Drosophila melanogaster: one gene and its partners. The protein of the gene in region 2 interacts with the protein of the main gene of each other region in a pairwise test. Each region holds a gene or a part of one and is shown on either strand. Other genes may lie near its edges. The genes, in order: MtnB, CG13721 and CG13227.

What was found.
Region 1: the proteins of CG13721 (region 2) and MtnB interact in a two-hybrid assay, tested with the Drosophila melanogaster proteins (one large-scale study listed by BioGRID).
Region 3: the proteins of CG13721 (region 2) and CG13227 interact in a two-hybrid assay, tested with the Drosophila melanogaster proteins (one large-scale study listed by BioGRID).

What each region holds. Positions count from the first base shown.
Region 1 is NT_033777.3:20,502,443-20,505,216, reverse strand, and holds MtnB (metallothionein B), read left to right. Parts: upstream 1-1,598; 5' UTR 1,599-1,686; coding exon 1,687-1,711; intron 1,712-1,772; coding exon 1,773-1,879; 3' UTR 1,880-2,115; downstream 2,116-2,774. Other genes in the region: Or92a (odorant receptor 92a), read right to left, coding at 1-422. UniProt on the Drosophila melanogaster protein: This protein binds cations of several transition elements. Thought to be involved in metal ion homeostasis.
Region 2 is NT_037436.4:4,496,339-4,499,716, forward strand, and holds CG13721 (uncharacterized protein), read right to left. Parts: upstream 1,440-3,378; 5' UTR 1,321-1,439; coding exon 1,068-1,320; intron 938-1,067; coding exon 870-937; 3' UTR 545-869; downstream 1-544. Other genes in the region: CG13720 (uncharacterized protein), read right to left, coding at 2,637-3,378.
Region 3 is NT_033778.4:11,233,322-11,236,303, reverse strand, and holds CG13227 (uncharacterized protein), read right to left. Parts: upstream 1,053-2,982; 5' UTR 1,015-1,052; coding exon 652-1,014; 3' UTR 549-651; downstream 1-548. Other genes in the region: CG13217 (uncharacterized protein), read left to right, coding at 1-37; CG34223 (uncharacterized protein), read right to left, coding at 100-287, 348-444; CG13228 (uncharacterized protein), read right to left, coding at 1,894-2,301; CG13218 (uncharacterized protein), read left to right, coding at 2,600-2,982.

The DNA of each region.
Region 1 (2,774 bases), on a different chromosome or scaffold from region 2:
ATGTGTTTCCGGTAAAACGATACGTTATACTTCCGCTGCGCTTCTAAATCTAAAGGAAATATCTCCTTGAGATCATCCAGCAATCTGACCAATCGCTTTCTATTCACTGTGAGACCGAACTGCTTAAAGTCGGCCATGAAGCTGAAGCCAATGCACGGTGCCACTGCAGTGGCCTCCAAAAGAGTAGTCGTCGACATTATATGGACTATAAAGTACGCGATTTCGCCCACCACATAGGCATTGAAGTTGAGAAAACCGAGTACCAGATAAAAACGTAGCAGGTAACGCCTTATCACATTCGGATCCCTATCGGAGTACAGATCCTCGCCGATGGTCTTGTAGAAAGTCATCGGAAACCGGGTAAGTTCGTCGAAGGTGATGACTTCATCGTCACTTTTTGGCTTACGTTTGCGGAACAGCATGATTCAGCTGTTTGATCGGCTGACAGAATAAGTCTTAGGTTTATATAGCTCCCATCAAAAGTGTCCCATTAAATTCGCATGAGACACCCTTCGCTGACCTCATAATTACTTAATTTAATTTGGGGTAACGGAACACCTGCCACTTGACTTTCTAAAATATTGAGTTCTACAGGAATGTTCCCAGGACTACACGGAGAAAAATCGAAGGACACTTTGGGGACGAGAGGATATTCATGCAATTTGTGGTAAGGAACTGAAGTCATACTCTAACTGAACGGTGCTGGCTGGTCAAGTTATATATGTTTATGTGATGTTAAATATAAACCTTGTGGTCAACACAAGCACAAGAATCAATTATATATTCATTATACTCGTTAAAGATATTTTTTTTTTAAGGTAAGGTAAATAAAATGGTAAAAAAGTAAAGGTAAAAAAACTAGCCGAGTTAGAGACTGCAGGAAACTTATCTAAGTCGTTCTTTTGTTGCAGGTACACCTAGCAAAAAAAAAAACAACTAAGTCAGGCCTATTTCTATATTTGTTCTCGAAAACTTTTTTTTTACTAAAAGTCATAAATATATATAAAGTTGTTCCGGGTGTTTGGTTTTCCGTGCAACGAACTGTTTTCGTAGCTCCCGCAGAGCTTATAGTTTTTGCCTAATTTGCAGCGCGTTTTTTCCTCTATTAATTTTTAGTTAGCTTTCCACATGTGATATTTTTATGGCATTTACGCTGGGTTTTTTTTGAAAAGAGTTTAGTCGTAAAGCGTTTTTGCAGCCAATATGAGCATTTAAATTTGTTTTACTACAGGAAAGTCTTTTATTTATTGTGAAAAACCCCGCTGGGTAGCTGCCTGCGCTTTTCATGCTTTTTATTGTGTGCTTCTGGGCTGTGGGCTGAGTCACGATACGCGGCGTATACGCAACGTATACGCAACGTGGGCAGCTGATAAGCTGATGAGGAGTTCGTGTGCACCGAGTTGGCGAGCAATCGCGTGCGCAAAAAGAATTGCCTGGCCTATCGTCTGATAAATTGCGAACCACTCGCCCCAGACTTGCACACGACGTGATAAGTTGGGTCAAACAAACAAATTTGTTTTGGATTTGTGCAATTTTGCACTCGTTCGAGTTCGAGGCAATCGAAGTGGGTATAAAAGTGGGGGAGTTGCCGGACTGGGTCATCAGTTGAATAGCCAAGCAACAAGCAAACAAGTGAATATCAGTTCGCCTCAGCCAAGTGAAAGTCGAGAAATAGATACATACAAGATGGTTTGCAAGGGTTGTGGAACAAGTAAGTGGTACAACGCAGCAGCAAGCTGTATAATTGACAATCGTTCTCGATTCCTCGACAGACTGCCAGTGCTCGGCCCAAAAGTGCGGGGACAACTGCGCCTGCAACAAGGATTGCCAGTGCGTTTGCAAGAATGGGCCCAAGGACCAGTGCTGCAGCAACAAATAAGCGGGCCAACTATATAACTAACTGTTTAACTTCTAAACTGGAGCTTAACTCCCAACGAGTTGGCCGCAATAAATAAAGTTTATAAAGATTTTGAGCATTTAAAAGTTTCTGCCGTTAACTTTTTGTTACTGGGCGGTCGGTCATCTTACCAAGCGATAATTATATTTTCGGCTTTTGGCAGCTAAAACCAATTATGGTAAAATAATAAACGTGAGCTGGCATTCAGTTAAGCAAACCGCAAAATAGAATTACATGAAAAATAAGCAAACGCAATGCGACAATTTGGGCGGGATTTGCAAATATTTGTATGTTCGCGGACAGCTGCACCGGAATTAAAATCCAATCCATCAGCCGTGATTTTGGTAGAAAACTCACCGAAAGTCCATTGAATTGTGCGCAAAACGGAACATAAATCGAAATAACATTCAATTTTCGTGGCCATCGAACTGAAACCAAATTATTTAGCCGCTTTTATCTGCGACTGAACTTTGCCCATATGCCAATGGCCGAAATTGCAACCCACTTTGTTTTGAATATAAAATGTATTTCGCTTTTGAGGCAATTTCTCAAAAATGTTGTGCCGATTTTATTGCATTTTCAAAAAATACATATATATTCTGCTCTACTAGCAGCAAATTCCTCCAGCGTTATGTTGGGTTTAATAGTCTGCCAATGGAATAGATACGTTTTGTATCGGCCAAATAATAACTTTCTGGCCAAGTTTTATTTATTTAATAGCCTGCTACTGCTACCCATTTCACACACTTTTGTTTAAAGAGCGGTCGAGCTTTCCATTCGAGTGGCTAGGCCTGAGTTTCCAACTGTCAAAACCAAATGACCAATTAAAATACAGGCACTTGTGGACAATTTCAAGCGTCCGTTTCCGGTGCTTGAG
Region 2 (3,378 bases):
TCTGTGAAATCAAACGATTATTGTCGCACCATCGCCGCCGTCTGCCGGCCGTTAATCTTAGATGTCCATTGTCCGTCGCTTCCGTGACCTTTCGGACTTGATGTCTGACTTCCAATATCCGATTGTTGCCTGTCAAAATCCGATCAAGACAAATAGTCTTGGGCAGCACCGTTCGGCGAGTTTATTTTGAGAATCTGAGACACTTGGCTTACACAATGCTCGCTCGCCTTAAGAGATTTATGGTATTCCACTCACAAATTACGCATACGCCGAGGGGTACAACAGGAATCAAATAACCGAAGATTACTTGTACTTTTCTGTCGTTTGTTACCAAACTTTTACGTCTAACGTCCGCTTAAGTTCTTGCCAATTTGTACAGTTAATTTGCTTCTGAAATAAAACCCCTATTAATTAGATTAGGCTAACGATATGGAGCCAATTTTTGTTTAGCTCCATTTGAATTGCAAATTAGCTGTTCGCTTCATGAGGTTTTTACGATGGCATAAAATAAAGAGCTAGGAGTAAAATTAAAACAATCAACAGTAGCCATCAAGCACGCAGGCATTAATTTGTACAAAGTATAACATTTATTTATGTAATATTTAGTTGGTTGTACTCTTTTTTTTGTGATTTTATGCTTTATTGAAGCAATTATCCTCGCCCAAGGGGCAGTGCAGTTAATCTGTTCGCTATCCGGTCAAGAACGCATCGTCTGGCTATTGAGTCTAGTGCTGGCTATTAATGGCTATTCTCTGTCGGCTTCTATTACTAAATGTACTATTTTTTCTAGTGCTGATAGATGTCTGGTGCTGATAGAGTTCTACTGAGGCTGTAAAAGTATTTATTTCTGGTTGGGTTAAGAACCCTTCCTAGAAGTAGTGTCCATAGTGCCCATGGTGATGATGCAATCCGTAGTAACCTCCATAGTATGGATAACCTGCGAGTAAGTAAGTTCAAAGATTATACCCGTTTTGATCTTTATCAAAATTAGAACATAATCCTCCATGTCACGAATTTCCCGAATTTCCGAACGAAATATTTTTACTCTATTCTTCTTATAATCTTACCAATTCCGTAGTAACTGCCGCTGTAATGTGGCCAATATCCGCCGTAGTAGCCACCCAAGTAGGGTGACGAGTAGTATCCGTATCCAAAGGATGCAGCTCCCTCCAGATCCTTCTCCTCAGCCTCTACATTCGCCTCCTGATCGCCGCCCTCCTCACGACCCTCCTGTGGGCGTGGCAGGGCCTCAGATCCGACAAAGAACATGGCCAAAAGGCTGAGGGCGAGCAGCAGGCAAACGGTTCTGGCTTGGAACATTTTGGTGAGTATTTCGGCGGATTTTCTTTGGGCAAACAACAAAGTATTGGAAATGGAAATGCCACTCGGGGCTTACAAAAACTGACTGACTGACGCTGGAAACGTGCACTGTGCTTTTATAATGGCCAAAAAGCGATTCTTGCAACGCCGCATTGCCATCAATGCGCAGCGACAAAACAATTGTCTAAGCGAAAAACGGTTCCCCCTTCAATTTGGGCGACTCCAGCTGCGTGTGCTTCTAACAATTCAAAGAAAACCCCCTCCGAAACATCAATGAATTGGCCAAGAGGGGGGTTGGTGGGAGGCTTCTATTTCTTGCATGACCGACTACTAATTACAATGCTTTGGGCCAACCAATGTTTGTTTGCCTGTTTTTCTCTTACCACCCACCGCCCACTCCGCCACCAATTCAGCCCGCTGGCTGCGATCAGTGGGGTCAATGTCGCAATGGGCAGTGCCCCTCTTCTTTTCTTTAAAGGCCAGAAATTCATTTGCTTACATAATGTAGACCGATTTCTCTACTCTTCGCTATCGATCCACTCTAATTTATCGCTCGTCCCGCCAACACACCAAATAATAATCATAAAAAACCCAACACACGCTCTATAAATTAAATAATTCTTTGTCAAAGTGGCCGGACAACATTCTAATCCCATAAAAAAAACGACGCCCAAAAACTTCAGACTTGGTAGCGAAAAAAAAAAAAAAAACGATTGTGGAAATGAAAATGTTCCAAGAATCCCCGCAAAACTATTACGTAGATCAGAAACCAAAACAAGTATTATCTGAATGAGAGATCCGACAGATCTACATATTTCCCGTGTAAGAGAGGTCAGGTCAGATTTTCTTCCGCTTCATCTGAGCCACTCAATTTCCATGTACCTGCCTAATTGCCGAAAATCTTCTCACAACTTTGCATGTCTGGCGGGGTCAGGGCTTGGGACAATGCGTTTCGCACGTTTGGCAGCTTGGATTCAAGCTCGGGGCTAATTGCCAGCTAGGGCTTATCTAAATTGCCGCATTAGCCAAGAACTTGTGACTTGAGAGTTGGGAGTTGTTGTAATTAGCGGAGCTAAATGCTTGGTTGGCCACCAAGAATCCGCCAGAGATGTAGCTTTGGAGGAGTTGAGGCGAAGAGTTGCAGGGTTAATAAGTTAACTACTTGTTAATAACTTAATAATTATATAAGTTGCATTTAATTAAAACTAACGTAAATGCCATTTAGAAATTTTCATTTCTAACTCCGTTGCAGTAATAATACTTTATTCTTTGTAAATAAATAAGTAACAACTAGCTTAAAACTTTAAGAGCAATGTCTACTCCAAGTCCAATGTGGACACACTTTGATTTTGATTGGGCATGTCGGGGAATCGATGAAATAGGGACGACGAGGGTTTAGTTTGACTATCCAGTCGGGTCTCAAAGATCCCTCCCTCTGAGTTTATCAAGTACCAACTGGGCGTTGGCGTAGCTCGCTGCAGCTCCTCCTTGTTGAGACCACTAATGGGAGCCACAGTGGGTAGCTTTTTGGCCAAATCATCCAGCTGCTTGAGATAAACGTCCAAGGTGCGATAGTCCGTATTGTTGGCCACCTCGTCAGGTGCAATAAACCTTGGTCCCGCCAACTGATCGTGCTCCTGCCACAAGTTGCGTATATTTGTCATTACATCCGCATAGAGTATGGAGTCATCGTTGCGGCCCCAGTTGCTATTGCGGTTGTTATTTGGCGATTTGGATTTGGATTTGCGTGAATTCACCAGGCGACTGGCCAGCGGAGTTGCGGAAGTTTCCGCAAGTGAATTGGCACTTGAAAACACTGATTTGCCAGTGGTTGTTGTTGTCGTCGTTGTCGCCTTGGTTGTTGCTGCTGTTGTGGTTGTTGCCTCTTTATTCCGGAAGTTGCGCCGCCTCTCCTTTAATTTTTCCCGCTCTGCTGACTTGTCGTGCTGTTTGAAAAGTCTTTGGCGACGTCGCCGATTGTCGCAGTTGGTTGCATTGCTGCAAATTGATGACCTCTTCACCTCATTGGTGACGCCCTCGTCGGGTAGATATTGTGTT
Region 3 (2,982 bases), on a different chromosome or scaffold from region 2:
CAGCTTCAAGAGCCTATTCGGCAAGAAGTTCCGCTAAAGCAACAGCACTCACCCAAAATATAGTCTAAGAGTTTCGTAATAAAGCTTAGTTAAGTAACATTAAAAGTTCCCTGTTTGGTATATGGGATTCAGAGCTCCATAGAACTGCAGTTCAGGTTCGGGAGTGGTGGTAGTTATACCCGTTTTGGTCCTAACGGTGGGCGGAGTTGGTGACTTAGGTTGAAGACGACTAAAGACAAGACGCACATGACTCGCAAAACTTCGCCACAGCTGAAAGGGTTTTGGAACTGGAAAAGGAATAAAATTAGAATTTTAGGATAATCAAATAACAAAATAACACACGTTACCTGAACTTTGAGGTGGTGCCACCTGCGGATCGAATTCCCGCTCATCCAGAGCTGCCACCAGCCCCACAGTGATCCACAGCAGCAGCAAGCGGAACATTTTCTGCAGCTTAGCCTCGTGGCCCCCTTATAAACACCTCCGATCTCAGCTTTCCCCGCCATAAATCGAACGTGTTATTAATAAACTCTTAAAAACAAGCGATTGGATGAACTTGCATAAGGCAAGCAATTTTATTGCACCCAATGGGGCAGCACAAAAGAAGTATCACAAATCACAATCAAGCACAATCAAATCCATGCAAACTGATTAGCCGTAGAATCCACCGCCATAGTAACCACCGCGTCCGCGGTAACGGGTGCGGGTGACCACTCGAGTTCTCTGGAAACCACCGCCGAATCCGCCACCAAAGCCGCCGCCGTAGTACGGTGGTGGAGGTGGTCCAAAGAAGGGTGGTGGCGGTGGTCCAAACGGTGGTGGTCCAAAGTACTGGCGCACTTTCCTAACGTTCTCGTCTGTGGAATCAGACTGGGCCGTTTCTCCGGCGTCCAGCAGCTGAATAGAGCTTGGTTTCTCCTGCACCACTTCCGTTTCCGTTTCATCGGCTCTAACAAAATTGCATAAGAGCAGAGCAGCAATGCTGAAGAAAAATATTATCCACTTGTGATCCATTTCGATGTCGTATTCCTTCTCCAACTTCGTCAAATACTAAAACTCATCGCCCAGCTGGGCTTTAATTTATAGCCAAACATTTGCCAAGAACACCCAGCACCTGGTGTCATAAACAAAGGCAGTTCATTGGCATTTCTTGATTGCCATTGAGTGTCTTTTTTTACATTTTTCGTCTAATTTCAATCGCAGTCAGGCAAAGACGCCGAGAATAATCGTCGGTTTGAAAAACCCAAAAAATCGCTTATACAAATACATAAGGTTGACCCAATCTTAATGGGTATATAAAATGAATTATGATGCGGAAGTGTGAGGCAACCGTGGAACGCAAACTAGATCTCTTTGGATTGTAACTCGATGTGCAACTGATTGAGATCATAATGGGTAGATAATTAACTGTGAATGATGCAAGGTTACTATAATAATAATCAGAGTAAAATATATTCTTAAGATCCATATTTGAAGTACCAAGTAACCAGATACCATTTGAGACGAACATTCTTGACATGACAAGACAAATCAACAAAAGTCGATAAAGACTACAATTAGCAATCCGATAACCCACAATTGGATACCGCTCTTCAGGCCAGCCAACTTGACCCACTGTAATCGCTTGATGGCTTGTTGTTTACCACTTAAAAAGCCCATCCGCCTCGCCTCGCGCGATATTCGACATACATATGTACATATATATATGGAAGCAAATAGCAGCGAGAGACTCTTCCAGAAATAACAGCCAGTTAACTACGGAATATGCAAGCTCATCGACTTTGTCGATTCCAAACACTCGGCAAAATGAAACTCGATCTTGCAGTACTTTTTTGTTTATCCATTGTTTACACTAGAGGGTCTCAAGAAACGCTCAGATTTATTCGGAAACGTCTAGCCAAAGAAACCGCCTTTGAATTTGGCAAAACCCACAGCGCCGCCAACGAATCCGCCGCCTCCGATGCCACCTAGTCCGCCCAATCCTCCTCCAACGGGATAGCCACCGCCATATCCGTAGCCATAGCTGGGTATCGTCTGTATGACGGGAACAGTGGTGATGATGGGCACAGTGGACACAACGGGAACTGTTTGGATAGCGGGGGCTGCCACTATGGGGGCAGCAACTCCTCCGCCTCCGATGATGCCGCCGCCCACGATACCGCCTCCAACGACTCCGCCACCTCCAAATCCACCAATGTGACGGGGTCTTCTAATGTTCTCCTCGTCGACGCTGGAGAGGATCGGTGTGGTGCTGACCACGGCGCACGCCAAGACGAGCAGGTAGACAGTTTGCCACAACATGATGGGGTTAACTGTTTGGTCTGCCCCACTCCCAGCTGCTTATTTATGCAAATTAATTAGTGGCCACTGTTTGCACTTCCAATTTGCATATTGGGGCGCCCGGGTAAAAAACCCATAACTCTAAGGCCCCATCTATGTTTTGGCGGTTCTATTGGGGGAATCATGGTTTTGCCCACTGGTAAGGTGGTTCACACCTCATCATCGTCATCGTTTGTGGTCTGAAGGTCGCCGGCCTGGGCATTAAAAGCCAGGTGATTTAGTTAAGGTAACTCACATCGTTATTGGACACTCAGCCGAGATGAGGTGCGATCTTCAAGTGCATTTTTTGTTATTACTGGCAATTGGCGCTTGGCGGACTGAAGCCCATTCCCTGGGAGGAGGTGGAATCGGAGCGGTTGGAGGAGTGGCAGCCATTGGCGGAGTTGGTGGCATCGGAGGAGTCCAGCAGGTTCCCGTTGTGCAACAAGTGCCCGTTGTCCAACAGGTTCCCGTCGTGCAACAGGTGCCCCTCATCCAACAGCAGCCGCAAGCTCTTGGCCTAGCAGGTGGAGGTGGATTCATTGGTGGCGGAATCGGAGGTGGTGCCGGTTTTGGACGCTACAAGGAAAGCTATCGCGTGCGAGCGAGGGGATTCGGTGGTGGATACCGCGCCCGGTACGACAAAAAATTTGGAGGAGGATT